2 linked regions of the Drosophila melanogaster genome follow. The protein of the gene in region 2 purifies or fractionates together with the protein of the main gene of each other region. This does not show direct contact. Each region holds a gene or a part of one and is shown on either strand. Other genes may lie near its edges.

What was found.
Region 1: the proteins of rept (region 2) and S6kII purify together in Drosophila melanogaster (affinity purification with western blotting, with the first as the bait; one study listed by BioGRID). This does not show direct contact.

Annotation. Positions count from the first base shown.
Region 1 is NC_004354.4:22,526,497-22,537,818, reverse strand, and holds S6kII (ribosomal protein S6 kinase II), read right to left. Parts: upstream 7,856-11,322; 5' UTR 7,469-7,855; coding exon 5,317-7,468; intron 4,964-5,316; coding exon 4,380-4,963; 3' UTR 1,448-4,379; downstream 1-1,447. Other genes in the region: CG17598 (uncharacterized protein), read left to right, coding at 1-563, 825-958; CG17600 (uncharacterized protein), read right to left, coding at 8,428-8,549, 8,607-9,077, 9,238-9,726.
Region 2 is NT_037436.4:19,250,232-19,257,748, reverse strand, and holds rept (reptin), read right to left. Parts: upstream 2,410-7,517; 5' UTR 2,235-2,409; coding exon 789-2,234; 3' UTR 638-788; downstream 1-637. Other genes in the region: mRpL21 (mitochondrial ribosomal protein L21), read left to right, coding at 2,770-2,839, 2,916-3,451. UniProt on the Drosophila melanogaster protein: Acts as a transcriptional coactivator in Wg signaling caused by altered arm signaling. Pont and rept interfere antagonistically with nuclear arm signaling function, and are required to enhance or reduce arm activity, respectively.

The sequences.
Region 1 (11,322 bases), on a different chromosome or scaffold from region 2:
GGACAACCGGGATGGCGACTACGGAGTGCTCGTCATGGCCACCGATGGCCTGTGGGATGTGTCCGAAAATGACGCCGTTTCACGCACCGTCTTCCAGACGCTCTCCAAATATTCAACGGAGAAACATCGTTACACGATGGTCGCCCAGGAGCTGGTGGCCCGTGCTCGTGGCAAAATCAACGACTCCGGGCATTGGCGACTCGCAGATAGCAAGGCTGCAGCCACTGTTGATGACATCTCGGTGATTGTTATCCCGGTTTGCCAGTATTACAAAGAGCACGTGGAGTGGACGCAAAACTACAAACGAGATCTCGAACATCGTCGCCGCCAGGCCCAGGCCCATATGGCGCAGGAAGCGGTCAACGTGCTCAATGGCGTGATTGCCGAGGAAGCTCACGTGGTTGAAGAGGAAGAGGAAGGCGAAGTGGTTGTTCATGAGGCCAGGACTTCTCACAATCAAACGAAAGTTCCAAGGCGGCTGGACGGGACACTCGACGAAACCCTGGTGGTAGAGCTGACCCCTTCACTGGAGCAAGTTCACATTCAGAACGCGGATTCAGCGGGTGAGCAAAAACTTCCAAGCTAACCCATAAACAATAGTTCTTCTTCTTCCTCACATATACTCGCTATTATAATGTGTTTTCTTTTACGAAAATAAAATCTAAAGAAAAAGTTTTGTTTATGAAGAACCAACGTTAACTAAATATTTCTATATTAAAACATCAACTAAGCTATATAGAACTATGATTTTGTAGTTATCATAATTTTTTATAGAAAATTTCCCCCTAAATGAAATCAATGCCTAACCCAATTTTACTTTTTAGAAGGCGAATCCAGCAAGGAGAACGTTAATGATAAGGACAAAGAGGCGTCCACGACGAGACAGCAGTCACAGCAGCAGCAGCAACAACAACAACAACAACAACAGAAGGGTCGCAAGGGCAAAGGCAAGCACTAGGACGAAGGTAATGCCACCCAGGCCGATACATTAGTCGTAATTAGACTAAGCAATATTCGAACGGATATGGATGCGGCTGAAATGGGCACATCTATATTTGTTTTTACACTCCACACGAAAGGACAAATTCAAAACATTCAAAGTTTACATAATTTGCTTATGTACGCCCCCAAACAAACAAAACAGAAACGCATGTCAACTTAATGAAACTGTACAATAATTTGCGGCAATGAAGTGTATTTATTTTATCCTAAAAGATTGAATGACGAACAAAGCCCAATAGTAACGGAGGCGATATTTTCAATAACGCAAATAAAAACCTTATGATTCCAAATGAAAGCATAAAAAGTAATTTAAGCTGCGTATAACATAAGCCAACTATTAATATAAAATATAATTACAAATATTGTTAACTAAACTAACAGACCAGAGAATTATTGGGGCAACTGATAAGAAACACAAGCGATAAGAAAGGCTTGAATAACTTTTAAATGTCGCTTAACACTCTGCTGTATGCCAATACAGATTACTTTTGGATTCCTTCGTTTTGTTATCAGTAGCGCCCAGAAAATGTTTAAATCCTGATCAGTTCTGTTAACGTTCTATTCTGTAGAAGCGAAATTTCAGTGCATTATATTATATTTTAAAATGTTATGTTTTTATGTTTAACATTAGGAATGTCGTTTGATTTGAAGTTAATATTTGGATGAATACATTTTTTAAAGGCAGGTAATTTTTGTTTACTCTATAAACAGCCGAAGAGTGTTCCTAAACCATTTTGGTACAGATCCTTATATTGAAAGATAAAAATCGAGCGAAATAATGAAAATGATTCACTTGCTGTCTTATACGACATTATAAATGTATTTTGGATATCCCAATTAGATCGAAACAATTCGAATTGGTTATTTGTTTTTCAATTAGGTTCCTTCTGCTTGGTTTGAAAAATTCAACTTAACAATAATTTCGAATCAGTTTCGTTGAATATGTTTATTAATTAAATGATTCATATCGGAATTCAATCATTTGAATGTATGTATAGTCTGGAAGCTGTTAAAATCTACTAAGAAAATATATTCACGCATTCATATATATGATTAAGATATATATGTATGTTCTTGGGGAATTTAGTCGAGAGTTGGCTTTAAAGTGGGTTGCTTGTATTGTATGCTTAAACTATCTGTTGTCTCTGTCCTTTTTGTGCAACCCGAACATTTTTGTAAGAGACCGTTCGGAATTATTGATAAATGATTACAGTTTTTATCATAGTAGGCCACTTTTGTATACATGAGTTTTAATCTAATCGCTGGATTAGATTTCTCATCAGCCCGTGGACTAAAATTCTTTTTCTGCCTGTCTCAACTTCGTTTTATAATTTGTGTATGAATCTGTTAAAAAACGAAGCAGGGAAACGACGTATCCCTTCAATTTGGTTGTCGTCATTTCAAAACAAGGTAATTAAGTATAAATCATTGCTGTAGACGCAACATATTTTGCAAAAGTTTATCGTGACAACTATTAGGCGAAATGTTCATCTCAAGATCCTTCTTAAATATTTTCTATATTATATGTCAATGTGTACACATTGTTTTCCCTCCGCAGCTAGCTAATTATATATGTACTTTAGGATAATCATACCATTTTCCCCCTCCAACTCCTTTTAATAACACCACGAAAATACAGTTTTATTCAAGGGATGTTATCCTTTTTTAAAAAATTTCTAAGTTTTACTAACCTTGTTTAGGTGGTGTAAATATGTATATGAAGTTATTGTTTTATTTTTGGTAGCAGTAAGTTCAGTAGTGGCACAGCACAATAATCCTTTAGCACACACACACATGCACTTACAAGAAGCACACACACAGCCTCTTATGCACACACACAAGCTCGCAAACAAGAAACTTCTGCTTTTCAAGTGGCATACATAGCTTCTAAGGATTCACATGGCTCTTCTACATAATTTATTCAATTTCGTTCCACTTTGCTTGTATTTTCTTTTTTTTTTTTTGTATATTTCCCTCTAGCATAATTTTAACAAGTTTTCCTTGGCAAAAATACAACAAAATTGGAATTGTCTTCGAAGAGTCGAAACAAGTTGTTGGGAACTGATGATCGTGCAGTTTTTAGAGAAACTAGCACAAACAAATGGAATTCTCTGCATTAACCCAAGTCGTTTATACGACGCTATCCTATTTGTATTCAGTACGAGTATGATGGAATATATCGCGGTTTCGGTTCTAAATCATCCAATGGTAAGTCGGAACTTTCTATATCTGGTTACAGCGCAAAAAGGTATATTGTTTGATATAATTTCTGTTGGAAGACGTTAGCAAACAAAATGGAAACCCAATTTGATGTTGTCACAACTGTTTCCCCGGCGTTATTACAACTAAACTGTGCGTTTCGCGACTGTAAGACAAGTTAGCAGGATTTACGTTTCTTAATTACAATTAAATAACAATATGCACCCTTGTGCAGTGTTGGAAAGAACGTCGGTTTTTATTGTTTAGGGAATTATTAATAAAATACTCTTTTCTAATATCCTTTGCCTTATAAACCCGAAAAGCACAGTTTCCGCTTTATGTACACATTCTGTATAATATGGTAGTTATGTTTATCTTTTGCTTAGTTTCATATTTCATTGTGCAAATTGACATTCCAAGTAAGAATTGTGGAAACTCTTGTGGTTTGATTTTCTTATCTTTCTACACAGTTTTTTTTGGGTTCTTTGTTCTTCCTTTATAGTTTGGCGAAAAAAGTTATTATTATATAAAAGGATTGCGGCTTTTATTCTTAATTTTTGTTTGTTTTGCTAATACTTTTTTCCATTTTTTTTTTCATTTTAATTAATTTAATTAAGCAACAATAACACGGTGATGTTGAAAAATTTAGCTACGATTAATTTAATTAAAAATATGTAAACTTGGGCGAGAGGCTTTTTTTTAATTTCCAGTTTGGGATAAATAATGTGGTTTCAGGAATCATCTGGGATGATCCTGGCGCCACATTCACACGCGCTCTCTAGGCCCTTGCTTTAGGATTCGTTATATAAATAGCTATATATAGATGTATATCAGTATTTGTATAGTTATATATATGTGTATATAGATGCCCCGCACAGTGCGTTATGGCCTTGGCATATTGGCATGCTTTCATATAAAATAAATAATTAACACTTGTCAAATACTTTAGGTTAGGCCGATTCCCCCAAAACCTAAACCACACGCAGCTTGGCGCTGCGGCAGCGTTGGCGAGGATTGCCCAGCGTTTGTGGATGTGAACCAAGCTTCTGCGCATTGTCCTTGACAAGACGACGCGGATTGGCACAGCAGCATTGGATTAGAATACTATAGATTCGGAAAAGTAGTCGGACTATCTGCCGCTTGGCCTGGCGCCGCGGACACCATGCAGCCGCCCAGGATTAGGAGTGCAGGTTGGCTCGATCTTTGGCCCGCCTCTTGGCGAGCATGGAAAGTTCTACGGGTCCCACATTCGCCGCCTGGGGTATGGCAATAGCCCGGAAAGTGGCATCAACAGCGCCTCTTAAGGCCATGGAGATGTGATTCTGCTGCTGCTGCTGGGCGCCCAGCGAAAGTTGGGATCCGGGCGCCACCGCATACTCTGTAAGCTGTACGCCGCCGGCGAATTGCTCCCGCAGCCAGTCGTGCTCAAGTATTCGCGCCGCCGTCGGCCGATTCTCCGGTACTATGTGTAGCATCTGACGCAAAAGTTCTTTGGCCGGCACACTGATCAGTGCCCAGCGACTGCTTGTGAAGTCAATTTGTCCTGATCCGATGCGCTTCAGTATTACGTCCGGTGAATCATTTGGAGTGCTGGCGAAAGGCGTCCGGCCGGATAACATGATGTAAAGCAGCACACCGAGCGACCAGATGTCGCAAGCCAGGTCATAGCCCTGTCTCTTTAGAACCTCGGGAGCCACAAAATTGGCTGTGTAGCATGGCGTCATCAGGAGGCCGTTGTCCGCGCGCAGCTGCTTCGCGAAACCTAAGCGGAAATCGGAAGGTTACTCCTGCTCTACCAACAAGAAATACTCGCACAGAAAAATATATAGCCTTGCAGAAATAAATGCTTTCTGAATTTAAATATTATCAAATGATTTCAATTGCAATAGGATGGAACTTTGGCTAAATAAGATCTTAAAATGAAAAACCTTCTGTTTGGAGAAAAGAAACCTTTAAAATTGCAAATAACAAAGTAACTTAGAAAACAAATAATAGTTAAAGGAATTAAAAATTACGAAAGTTTAGCTTTTAAAGTGAATCATGTTTGTCAGCAATTGGAAAATTTACTGCAAGGCTATAATAAAATATATTTAACTAGTTCCGCTCCGCACTCACCCAAATCGCAGAGCTTTAGGGTCTCGGGAGTTTGCCGCATACTGGCATATATCATATTTGAAGGCTTAAGATCTCGATGGACCACGCCATGTTCATGGAGATATGCTACCGCAGATGCAATTGTCCTTAACACCGCGCTGGCCTCACTCTCGCACATCTGGCCCACGGCAAGTATCCGATCGAGAAGCTCGCCACCCTTAAGCAGCTCCATCACAAGATATGCGGACCCCGCATCCTCGTAAACAGAGTACAGAGTGACGATATTTGGGTGGTTGCCGTACCTCAGCATAATCTCCACCTCCTCCCAACAATCGGCAGAAGTGGATGTGGATGCTGCGGCCACAGCTGCCTTTTCGATTACTTTTACTGCGTAATGTTTCTTGGAGGCTCGATGCTCGCACAACCGACAAACTGAAAAGGTTCCACGTCCCAGTTCTTGCAGTAGATTATATTCCGCATGGAAGTTTCCGGGAAGAACACCAGGTAATGTTCGAGGGGCTCCCACTGGAGCAGCAGGAATAGGAGCTATACTATGCAGAGGACTGGCGCTGGTGGAGCACATATTCGAGCCAGCACACTGACCTTCCAGAAGGACAGGAGCCACAAAGCTGAACCCGCGGAAGATCTCATGGGCAGATGCGGAGATCGGGCCACCCGGAGAATCCCTGGGGGACTTTGAGGTGTACTCCACATCAAAGTAAAAGGCATCGTCACGGCTAACCGCCGGTATGAAAGGCGGACGCACCTGCTTTCGTTCTAATCTCACCCAGTCGATGGTGGCAAAAAAGCAGTGCGCCTTGATGTCCAGAATTCCTTGGGCACCCGCACCCAAACGATTCTGGGGGTTTCTTTTGAAGAGAGCACGTAGCAGGGATTGCGCCTCTGGCGACAAATTCTCCGGCATGCCCAGCTTACTTCTAAGGATCTGATTCATAGTCTCTTGGCGGGTTTGGCCATGAAAGGGTAAATTCCCCGTTAACATTTCGTACATGAGCACCCCGAAACTCCACCAATCAGCGGCAAAATCGTGTCCCTTTCGGTTCACGATCTCCGGCGCCATGTATTCTACGGTTCCACAAAAGCTATATGTTTTTGAGCCATCCAAAGGCTGCTTGGATAGACCAAAGTCCGTCAAGGCTATATGGCCATGCTCGTCCAGTAGAATATTTTCCGGTTTCAGATCCCTGTAGATAATGCCCAATGTGTGTAGGTGATTCATAGCTAGCGCCAGTTCCGCTAAATAGAACTTGACATCTTCTTCCGTAAACATTACTTCTTTGGATAGACGGGTAAACAGATCACCGCCACGAAGAAAATCCAGTATCAAGTAGAGTTTTCCGGGAGTTTGGAAGGCATAGTGAAGACGTACGATGAAAGCATGACCCACGTCCGCTAGTATTTTTCGTTCATTTGTGCTCCTTACGCGATCTTTTACTTTTAGGGTGGCCTTTTTGAGCACCTTCATGGCATAGAGTGTTCCTGCATCTTTGCCTATGATCTTTCGCACTAGAAACACCTTTCCAAAGCTACCTTCGCCCAGAACCCGTAGGAGCTCGAACTGGGAAGGATCGGCCTTGTCGTGACCCTCCTTGATGACTTCCTTAAGCTCGAATTCGTTTTCTGTTTCATATAGGGGCTCGGTGTCTTCTAAATCAGGTGCACTTCGCCCAGTAGCCCCTTCTCTCCTACCGCCAGTTTCCACGCCTCCCTGGGACTCGGAATCACTCAGCTCCATAAGTTCTGGCGGCGGGCACAAGGTTCGATGCGTCGGCCTTTTCCTAGCGGAATCCAAGTCTGCTGTTGGTGAGATGTGATGCTGCTCGAGGGCCGCTTGCAGAGCAGATTGCTGTTGCACCTGTTGCAGCTGCTGGCGGCGTTGCGATGATGTCACAGTGGTCACCGAGGAAGTGACACCGCTGTTGCCTCCGCCACTCTCATCGTCCTCGGTGGGCGTGTGCTCCATGGGCGTGACCGCCAGGCTGCTGCAGCCGGACGAGGTAATTTGCATGCGCTGGCGCAGCTGCAGACCCAATCCGCTGCTGCTGCATTGCTGCTCCGCATTGTTGCTGCTGCTGGTGGAGGACACATGCTGCTGCTGCTGCTGCTGCTGAGGCTGCTGGCGGAGATCCTTTTGCGAATCGGCCAGCGGCATGACTTCGGTGGCTGCTAGCGTTGTGAGGCAACTGCTCCTAGCGGTTCCTTTGTTTCCAGATCCTGATGCACAATGCTAGAGCCCGAGTTCCCCCTGCGTTTCCAACTCCTCCTGCTGCTCCTCCTCCACCGAACTCTCCCTACTTCCGATTTCACTTTTCTTTTTTATTACTTCCGCTGCGTGGGCGTCGCAGTCGACTGCGCTGTTGCCTCTCCGGATTTCTCTGGTTTCCCTGCTGCTCCTACGGCCAACAAGCAGCGCTTTCCTAATGCGCCCACGTTTCGTACGCCGTCTGCTTTACTATCCGCTTCGCAATCCGCACAGCTGTGTTGCTTCTTATCACTATTATTTACACATTCACAATAAAGTTTTTTTAGAGCTGCAAAAAAATCGATGTTACCATCGATTACATCGATAGTTTCAGTTTTCCGAAAACATCGATTTACTTTTTGCAGCCGATGTTTTTACTGTGCGTATTCAGCAAATTTTTGTTTACACTTTTAATACATTCTTTCGGTTTTAAAAGTCTATATAACTCAATTAAAAAAAAAAAAACATATAAATATAGTTTTATTTGAGAATGATTTGGCCCGTGTGACCGTGTCTAGCAATATACCAAACGCGAAAAATACCAATTCATTACGAAAACGTCGTCACGAAACAAGTTATCTTGTGTAAACCGTCTAAAAACCGTTATTATAAATTTCTATATCCCTTTTATATTGATTTCCGGAAACTTTGCTAAATAAATACAACGGTTTTGCAGACTTACTTACTTATATTAGCCGCAACATTCCAAATTCAATTGGTAAAAAACTAATGGATATCGTACAAGCGCTTTTAAAAACAATAAAAAAAAAAACATTGTGCTTATAGATTCAGTATTATTATTGCTTCAAAAGTGGACAACAACCACTTTTCATATATAAAAGTAGGAGTAGTAGGAGTAGCTTACTTACTTAGTGCAAATCTGAAGGGCGCAACGATAGACGGATACAATACTGACCACAAAATGAAGAAACAGGGCAAAAATTAGGCCGCAGGCAGCGGAAACCTCGCTGTTGGTATCGATCAAGTCGAACTAGAATGGATGAAACCATTAAAAAAACATGCCTCAATGCGAAGAGCCCGGCTTTACCTGTTCACCCTTTTGCTCCGCCATCCTGTTGAGGTCCCTTGACAATCCCACGCCGGAAATAGCCAGAGCCAGGGTGCTGCTGGCGATGCAGACCAAACTGAGGGCCAAAAACGCTGTCTGGGTTTTGCGCATGCTCACCACTCCAAGGGAGCCCGTAACGGCTGCTATCAATCCCGTCCAGATGCCGCATCCCGCCAGTGAGAGCGCTGCCTCTCGGACGATCAGAAGTGATCCCAGGGCCACCAGCGATATGGCCAGGAGCAACTGGAGAGTGCCCAACACTATTTGCAGTGGAAATGCCGAGCAGCATTCATTGCTCGCCTTGCGCTTGCGCCGATCTTTCGAGGAAAGCGATGAGCCACTGCCTCCACCCTCGCTGCCCTCCTTGTACTTAATAAATTCCGGTGGACAGCGCTGTTTACGACTGATCCTGGAGTCCAAAGTGGTGGCCCCACTCTTAGTGCCATTCACCTGCACAGAAGAAAAAATGTGTTTGGTACAATATTCGATTGTCTGAGGATTAATGAGAGCAAGGCAGTACAGAAATGGACAATTAAAGATTCTCTAGCCCTATTAGGTGATTCAACTGATACAAATTGATTAATTTTGGTTGACTTTTTGTAGGACCTACCTGGTTTGGTTGCCGCGAAGCAATAGCTTCCTGCAGCTGTTGTTTGAACTCTTGGTGCGAAATAAGATTGGGCTTATTATCGTCATCATTGTTTGCCTGGGATTTTTGGGCATCCAAGTCTAGGGCGGCGGATAGGAGTTTCACCGCCGGCGGCTTCTCATCGTAGACAGGACTCGAATAGATGTGACTTTGGGCATCCTGGCGCGCCTGCTCCTGGTCCTCCTGCTGTTTTCGATTCTCATCCCGTTGAAGCATGCCGATTTGCGAGTTGGTCAGACTACCGCCCGATCCCGCCAAGTTCGTGGTATTCGTGCTATGTTCGATGGTGGTCACCACCTGATGGAGTTCCTCAGGATTCAGGCTGCGATCCACAATGGTATCCATGCTGCCGGTGGTGGAATCATGCGAATCAATGGTGCGGGCCGGCGATGCCGAGTGGCGGCCATTGAAATCTTCGCCGCCAGGCTGCTGATTACTGGTCTCTGTCATTTCTGCTGATTGGCTGAGATGATTGGGTTATGATGATCGGTGATGTCACTGATTCATTGACAAGCTGCAGGCAAATGAGGAGAACAGTTAAATATTAAAAATAACGTGAAGATTATGGCTTTGGTATCGTTTGGTATCTTCATATTCGAAAGTAATAGTAATAAAGCTTATTTTCATAGTCTCTCAAATAGACACTATTCCAGCTTTTATAACCCTTTAATTTTTATTGCGTTTTTTACATTCTGTCGAGTGTAGCAAGTTGAATACTCGCCATGGCCTATGGATTGGCGGCTCGACAGCGAACACCCCGCAGAATAGCAGGTTCGTTGCCAGAGTCTTTTGTTTGGCGCGCACACTTTCGGAAGGCTTGCTTGCTTATCGCTTGCTTATCCACCGATCGATTGGCTTTTGCCATTCATCAATTATTTGATCTGATCAATCATTCGCACTTTGGACGCATAATTTCTGCAATAATCGCCTGTTCTCCGTCAACATTAATCCACTTATGGAGCCTGCTCAGAATCCGATCCGGTCCACACTTATCATGTGTCAACCGGCTGACAATGCCAGTATTCTGCCTTGGAACACCTTGACATTTGCCTGCGCTCGTCGGTTGTCATTTTGCTTGGCTTCTGCGAACCGGTTATCATTTTGTTGGCAATTAAACAAAGCCAAAACTGAAACTGAAACCGAACGCAAACTGAAATCGAAAGCCGAAACAAAATGTAAATAAAGTGGAAACAGACGTAAAAGGCACAAACAGTACATTCCTTAAGTAATAAAAACTATACCACTTTTTTTTAAGCATTTCCCCTTAAAAAAAAAGTATGTCTATATTGTTCTTTAGCTATAATATAATACAATATCGTGGAGATTTGAATAACTAAAACCTTTAAATAACTTTACTTTAATATGTTTTATCTTTAAATATGAATTTGAATTAATTATGGTACACTATTTGTTTTCATGTTGGTGTTTTCTAAATAAATTTTGATTTAAGGGCTTGAATTATTATACAAATAAAATGTATGAGTTAAATATAGGTAATCCGTTCAAGTTCCATTTTCAAATCGCTAAGAACATTCTCCGTCCATTCCAAGCAGCCATTAAGCGTGGCATTGTTTTGTTGCGGGGGCATGGGTCGCATTGTTTTGGCGGTGCCATGCGGCGTTTGGAGGCAAACCACTTAAATGGCATCCGATATGGCAAATTGTTTGGTGCAACTGGCAAATCGATTGCTTACTAGGGGAGTGGAGCAAGTACAGCCCTCAAAATAGTCATCGGTAATTTTACGAAAATTCCCAGAGATAAAGAGAGTAAAGTAAAATACATTTTTAAATTAAACATAAATGCTTTCTCTTAGCGTCTAAATAAATTACATAGATATCGCGCTTAGTACGCCCCTAAAATCAAAAATGATTCAGTTCGAACATTTGAAATATAATTATATTTAAATGCTGTGTACTAAATAAAAGACACGCTGGAGCCAGAACTGAATTCTTATTGATTCCACCTTCGCTTTAACAGGCTTAAGGCAAATACAAAACATACCGGAGTGCAATGAAAAAGCACAAAGATGTGCTGTTATGCCAGTAA
Region 2 (7,517 bases):
TATCTTGCCTAAGAACACATTCTCAGTCGTATATATATATATATATATAAACATTATGGAATTGTAAATTGTATAAGAGTATAAACCCGTTGAGTTCATCTAGGAACTAGACAGATCACTCGAGACTATAACGATACACCAGGGTCTTTGAAAATCAAACTCAAATTTCATTTATTGAAAGGGGAGCAGCGCTCAAGGAGACTAACTAAGCCATAAAGACAGTTTTATACCAATGTAAAGATGATGCGACGATATATTTTGATATGCTCACGCTAAGTTTTAATGTCAGTAAATTGAAATGCGAAATAAATGCAATGAAATTATTTTTAGGTACAAGACGCGTGGCTGTTTTTCTAGTTATTTCCTAAGATAGCTCAAACTAGAAATTAGTGAGAATTGTAGTAGGAATCGAATAACATGCGCATTAAGTTCATTTCTGCGTTTTATTGATTATAATTATTATTTTGCAAGCTACTAAACGCAATTTTTAAGTTAATTATTGAAAAATTTGTACTATCTTGATTCCCTTGCTACAATGAGAAGAAAAATGATTTTATTTTTAGCCAATGCTGTATTTAACTACCCCAATTGGCCATTTGATATCCTTTTCCGAAATTATAAAACTTTGAAACCATATGCTGATAATGGTTTATTAATTACAATCGTTATAAAACCATGACCAAATTCGTAGGCATTTAATTTAATCATAGATACAAGGAAACTTATTTATTGATCATAAAATAGTCATGAGAATGTACTGGGGGGTTGCTGCGATGTCAGTTTAGACTCTAGTGCTCCATGGGCTGGGCATCTCCTCCGCCGCCCTCCACGCGACGCTTTGCCCCGCCTCCAGCGGCCGGGTCCCTTTCCACCTCCTCGGTGATCTCGCTGAACATGTAGTCATCCTGGTACTCCTTGAGGATCTTGCTCGAGCGATTCTCGTCCAGGAAGAGCGAGTAGACCTTCTTCACATCCTCGGTATTGACTTCGGTGGCCTTGCGGCGACGACAGACCAAGTTGGCTGTGGTAATCAGTTGGATGGCGTAGCGTAAACTGGTATCTGTGGCGATGCGTGTAAGAATGGTCAGGGCATCCGGGTGCATGATGCAGTCCTCCTCCTCGCAGCGAATCTTTAGGATCTCCTTAACCTCCTTCTCGGAATACGGTACAGTGCGTATGATGATCATGCGATCGAGTAGATCAATGGGTATGCCGTGCGGACTGCGATAGTTAGTGCCCCTAATACGAGTGATGCCGCGGTTGGTGGCCATCACCACCACCGGAGCCATGTCCGACTCCAGGGCGCGATTCAGGAAGGAGAAGCACTCAATGTCCAGCATGTGCACCTCGTCTATGAAGAGTACTCCCGGATTTATCTCAGCTTTGCCCTCCTCGCGCCACTCGAGAACCTTGTTGTTGATCTGATCGCGAACCTCCTGCTTGATCTCTCCAGTATCGCCGGAGAACAGGGCCAAGAACCCGTGGGTGCGACTATTGATAACATCGATCTCGTGTAGGGTCACAGTGTGCACCACCTCCTTGCGTTTTTGAAGCTCACCCTCGGGGCATTGGACGAATCTGGTCTGAGCGCCAGTGGCGTCGTAGTCCCTGGCTCTGGTGAAGCTGCGACCCAGCTTGTTGACCTTTCCGGACGCCTTGTCGATGGTGATCACATCGCCAGCCTGGATCTTCTCTTTCATGAAGCACTCGATGATCTTGTTGCCCAGATCGTAGTTGGTTTCCATCTCGGTGGTCTTGAGGGTGACCTTGCCCACCTTCTGTCCGGTACCCGAGGCGGGGCGTTCGATCTGGATCTCCACCACTTCGCCCTCGATGATCTCGGTTTCCTCCTTGATGCGAACGCCAATGCTCTTGCGCAGTGCCTGTGACAGAGCCTCGGTCTTGCTCATCTCCAGCGAGTATATCTCCGATCCGGACATGCTAGTGAATGGGGTCTCGGTGCCCAGAGCCTGCGCCATTCCCACAGCAATGGCCGTTTTGCCGGTACTAGGCTCCCCGGCCAATAGGATACATCTTCCGGCGATCTTGCCCTCGCGAACCATCTGCACCACAACGCCGGCGGCACGGCGCGCGTCCTTCTGGCCCACCATTCCCTGGGATACCAGACGAGCCTCCAGCACATCGTCCAGTCCCAATCCGCGGATATGCGAATGGGCGCCAATGCGCTCGATGCGAGTCACGTCGCGAACCTCGATTTTCTCGGTCTCGGCCATTTTGTGCTTTTGATTCTGTCTACTGTATCACTGGTCGGGAGTTGTACTCTTGTGCGATCTTTTCAGTGGCTTACTAGTTGTTTACTGGGCTTAAATAAGTTGCTAAGCATAAAATTCGTATATGAAATTACCGGCCTGCTTGGAGTAGTGTTGAAAGTTCGATGATTACACAGCACTGTTATGCGCAGCACATGCTGTCAGTGATGGCAGCGTGGGAGAACATTCGCTAGCGGCAGCTAGGTTTTACAAGTACACAAGCCGCTAAATATAATACGATTAAATTAAATGTAAAGGAAACCATTTTCCGAAATATCTGCAAGTGTGCGGTAACTTATTGTTATTTATTGAGTTGCTTCAAGCTTTAGTCGTACTAGCTATTACAAGCTATTTCTGAAAATGTAACAGGGATGTTAACGTGCGCATGCTAACACAGCTGTTCGAAAACGCGTTAGTGTTATTCACATTTTGCCTATCTGCCGACATTAAACCGATCCGATTTATTTATGTACTTTTGAGTTAAAAACAAAGCCAAACGATGTCCTTTCTAGCGCAAACTATGCGTCAAATGCTACGCCACGTGCCCAATCGCAGTTTGTTGACGGCAGGTAAGTGAATATTAAATAGCATCGATGTAAACAATGTGACATAACCAGGTCCCAATGAAATCCCATTCTTTTGTAGGTGCCATGCGTCCACTGAGCATATCGCCGGTAATTGGGCAGCAAAACAAGCCGGCGACGGAATCGGTGGATTTATCGGCCATAGCTAAGGATCAGCAGAAGGAGTGCCTGAGCATCTGCGAGCGCATCAACCGGCAGGTGCAAAAATCCGAGCAGGGACGACTCTTCGCGGTTGTCCACCTGTGCGGCAAGCAATTTAAAGTAACTCCAGGAGATATCATCCTGGTGGAGGGATACTGGCCGCCAACGATAGGCGACGAGATCAGCCTGGATAAGGTGCTCCTGGCCGGTGCCCGCGACTTCACGCTCGTGGGAAGGCCCATTTTGGAGCCCGGACTCATCTTGGTGAAGGCCACCGTCGTGGAGAAGACGCTCAGCCACACGAAGACGCACTTTAGGAAGAAGCGCAGGAAGCAGTACATGCGCATCAACTTCCAGAGATCTCCGCACACCATGGTCCGGATCAATTCAATTGAACTGGCTCGTCCAGTGGACGGGAATGGCGAGGGGGAGTCTTCCTCGAGGCGCTTGTTTTAGTTTAAAATGCTGTTGATCACGAAAAATAAACCAAGTTTTTGGAAGGTAATTAAGAAAACACAAACCACTTTGAACTGGAAGAGGATAACTTTATTCAGATGCTGATTTTGTATATTTTCTAAAACGGTTGAAACTTTTCTAGTGATATTTGTATATTTGCCCTTAATTCATTAATAATAAATGTCATAAAAATTCAATATTCTTAGGACTTTGTTACAATACAGATAATTAAGATAAAACCCATTTTGTAATTGATGAAATGTTATAAAGTTCTTGTTTTATCTAAGTCACCAAAATCAATTGTAAGCATCAGTTTGGTTTTAACTGCAGTCACTGATATCAGTGTTAACAGTACATATAGTTCTATAGTTCAGTATATTTTAAGCTCATATTAACTTTTAAAATATGGCTAGCTACAGTTTCTAAGTTTTGGCAGAATGTTCAGCAAGTTATCTAGCAATTTTAAAAACCAAGCAAATGTTTTACCAATTTTCATTCCTATTTTTGCCTCGTGGAATTTTGCAGATATTGCCCTTCTGCTGTTGCTTTTTGTCTTTCCATTAGAAATTCCACTTTCATCTTGATTCAATGACTCTGCCCGACAGTATTTACCCAAAACGGCAACCTAGTTTGGAATACGAGCTACCCAGCTCCCGACTCTTGCACCGCGACAAAGAAGAGGCGCCTGCTCTAATGAAGCAACCAGTAGAACCACTGCAATTTTAATGACAACCTTTTATCGCTCATGATGTTGTTGCCATCTTTCATTAAAAAAGACGTCGCTGCACCATCCAACCAAACTACCAAACTACCTAGCCAGGTCGGAACCACCCAACCAGGCAGCCCGACCACGATTTATAACCTATGGACATGGCTCACATGGGATGCCTGCTGTTTTCTTTATCAGCAGATGTAAGTTGCTCCCGAGTCGGCGGCTGTCGTATTTGTTTACGCTGCTCTTTCACTTTTCACTAACCAAAGGCGTTTACTTTTTAGCCTTTGCCTGGTAAAGCTGCTTTTGCTTTTCCCTGGCCCCATTTTCTAGTTTGGCCTTTCCGGTTTCAGTTTGGCCGCGGGGGAAATGAAAATTGAAAGAACACGCGAGGTCAAAGAATTCCACTATGATTGGGCCTGCGAGTTAAATTTATTGCAGTTAAACTATTTCTATATATGTCTTTTCTAACTCACATATGTCTGAAAAGACACAGCTACTTTTGGAAAACTTTTTCTAAGTCGTAAGCTAAGCAAAAGGATTTTAAGTCGAAATTATAATATGGTTATTACAAGTGTAACTTTTGACTATATCTGAAAATCTTCCATTTTTTTTTAGTTTACTAGACAGAAATACAAGGATTACAATTGTTTTTGACCTTAAATATTTTAGTCTAACGTAAAACTTAAAACTGTGGCATTTAAACAACCGTATTGAAATAGATTGTTGAATAAAGAAGCGTTTTTTTTATAAAAATAAATTCTTTAACAATAAATTTTTTTGTTGAATCTTGAATATATCTTACTTATAACATTTTCTGTGAATTTATATTAGAGAAACCAACCCATTTCCCCCCACTCCTTTCTCATTGTAGAGGCTTGGTTATAAATTCGAGGAGTTTCCTTCGCCTCATCACTTCTGGCGGCATCCGTGTTGACACCTTCTAAATAAAATCACTTTCGCTCCATATAAAAACGCCATTAAAAATTATGGTTTCCATCCAGGGAAGGCCATACTCCAAGTGGGAACCGACGTAGATGCTTCTAATGGTGCCACATCAAATTTCGCAAATTGCACAAGCAGCACAAATTCAATTGTCGACACTTCGGGCAAGTTTTGCTCAAATATCCATCACAAGAATGTGTATTCCAGCTGCACTTTGCCGGCGACAAATCAAATTTCAATATGGGAGGCGCAAAATAAAAAGAGTTGGCGGAAAATAGAAACACAAATTGAAAGCATTTTGGTGTGATAAAATTTCACCTGACTGCCTGCACTGGTTGCTTGGCCAAGCAGTTTTGGGCACCACGCCCCTTCTACTACTTTTCCCTGATGATTATGTTATTTGCCCAGGAAAATTGCATTTGATGTGCGTTAAGTGACAAAACGGAAATTGCCACCAAGCGGATGCTGGGTTTGTTTGTCTTCTTATGGCGCCCCATGCCCTTGGCCCCCTTCCCCTTTCCGTTTCCACCCACTGTCGCACGTCCATCTAAGCCACCACTTTTTGGCAACCCTTACTCCCTTGTGCCCGCCGTGAAAATCCCATGTAAATGCGGCTCAAGTTGGCCCAAATTTTCCAAATTTATGCGTGGAAGCGTGTGATGTATGGGGCGCAGAAGGCAGAAGACAGAAGAAAGGGGAATGTGGACGCAGGCACTGAAAGAAAAAGTGTGCAAGAATGTAAGCAGTTTCTCAGGCACATAGCTAAGCTGTATTATAATATAAAAAAGTCAAAATCTACCATTGGTGTCTTATTTGAAGTAATTTACTTAAATACTTATCATGCTAAATAATGTATTAAATTACAGCTACATATATTAACTTTAAAATTAATGAAATTAATAGTTTAGTATATAATAACTTCATTTTGATGAGAGATAAGTCATCATATAACTTCAACAAGTGTGTCTGATTTTCTTCGCGTGTAACTAGGACGAAGGATACTGTGTTATGACCACCCATCCATCATCAGCATCACTCAGTTTTGACATATCATTGAAATCTTATGCCAACGTCGTCATCATCTGTGACGTTTCATTAACCCACCTCCGCCCGTGGGGGTGTTGATGGCATAGGATGCGAACGGAGTGGGAGGAATGTGTTAATATCAACAAGCGAAAACTGTGCGAACGCAATCTACCGATTTCCGCTTAACCAAGCCAAACATTGCATTTTTGATTAGACACCGACCGACGAGCCCGAGCCCGCAGGCTGGTCAAATCCGAAGAACGAGGATATAGCCACAGCATTCCAAGGGAATCCAAGGGAATCCACCCGGGGGTGGCTTTTGATGTGGTCCAGGGGGTTGACGCGGGCGGGATCGCAGGCTAAGTGGCGAAGTCAGGGACGACGGGCAATTGATTGTAATCCCACTTTTATTGGCGCTCAGCAATCACCTCTGTTCGTCATATTTGTTACTCTTTTTATTTGAAGTGCAGAAATGTTGATACTAGTTATGAAGCACAAAAAATAAAATAATTGGTACATTTATTAGGCGTCTGTTCATAGATGAAATCATTTTTTCTAACATTTTCTATCAACGTTTTATACCAAAGATGTGTTAGTGTAAGCATATGAATATGTAGTTTTAAATTTATTTAATCATTTACATTTTATTTCCAGTAAAATGTAAAGTTCAGATTTCTTTATTTAAACCCGCTATTATAAAGAAATTTGTTAAGAGCTCAGTGAACCCATCAGATGCAAGCACTTTATGTAAAATATTGGGTTTCTGCATAGAACATACCATTTATTTTCCCTACGCCTTTCATATTCGTATCCATCAATTTGTTTTCCCAAAACTTTGGCTTCCACAATCGGAATATTATTTTCACATTATATCGATCCCAACAACCCAACCCTTGTCTCCATCAATTTGGCCAAAGCATATTACATTCGAATTATAAACTCACATATCATTCTTCGATGAGGGGATGACGATGCTTTCTGTCACCTAACGCATAACTTGAAAAGTTTCTCTTGAAAATTATGCAAAAATGTTGAAAATGCTGGATCTGCTCCTTGGGGATATTTTTCAGTTCACTGAATTGTTGTTTGCGCTGCCAGAAAAAGAGATTTTCAGCGGAAAGGGTTGTCAAGGCTTTCTTTTCGTGCTATTTCGTGTGTTCCGCCTCTTCGATAACCTGATGGTGATATGACAATCTACTCGAATCCACTCCCCACTCCCCGCACGTGTCACAATTCGAATTTAAATAAGTTCGATGAGCAGCAAAGTTCGCAAACAGTTCGTGGATGGCTTCTGCCACTATGCCGCTTAATGATGAAATTTCAATAAATGTCATTTGGTCTCGGCAAAGTGTCAACATGGCACATGGCACCTACCTTCCTACC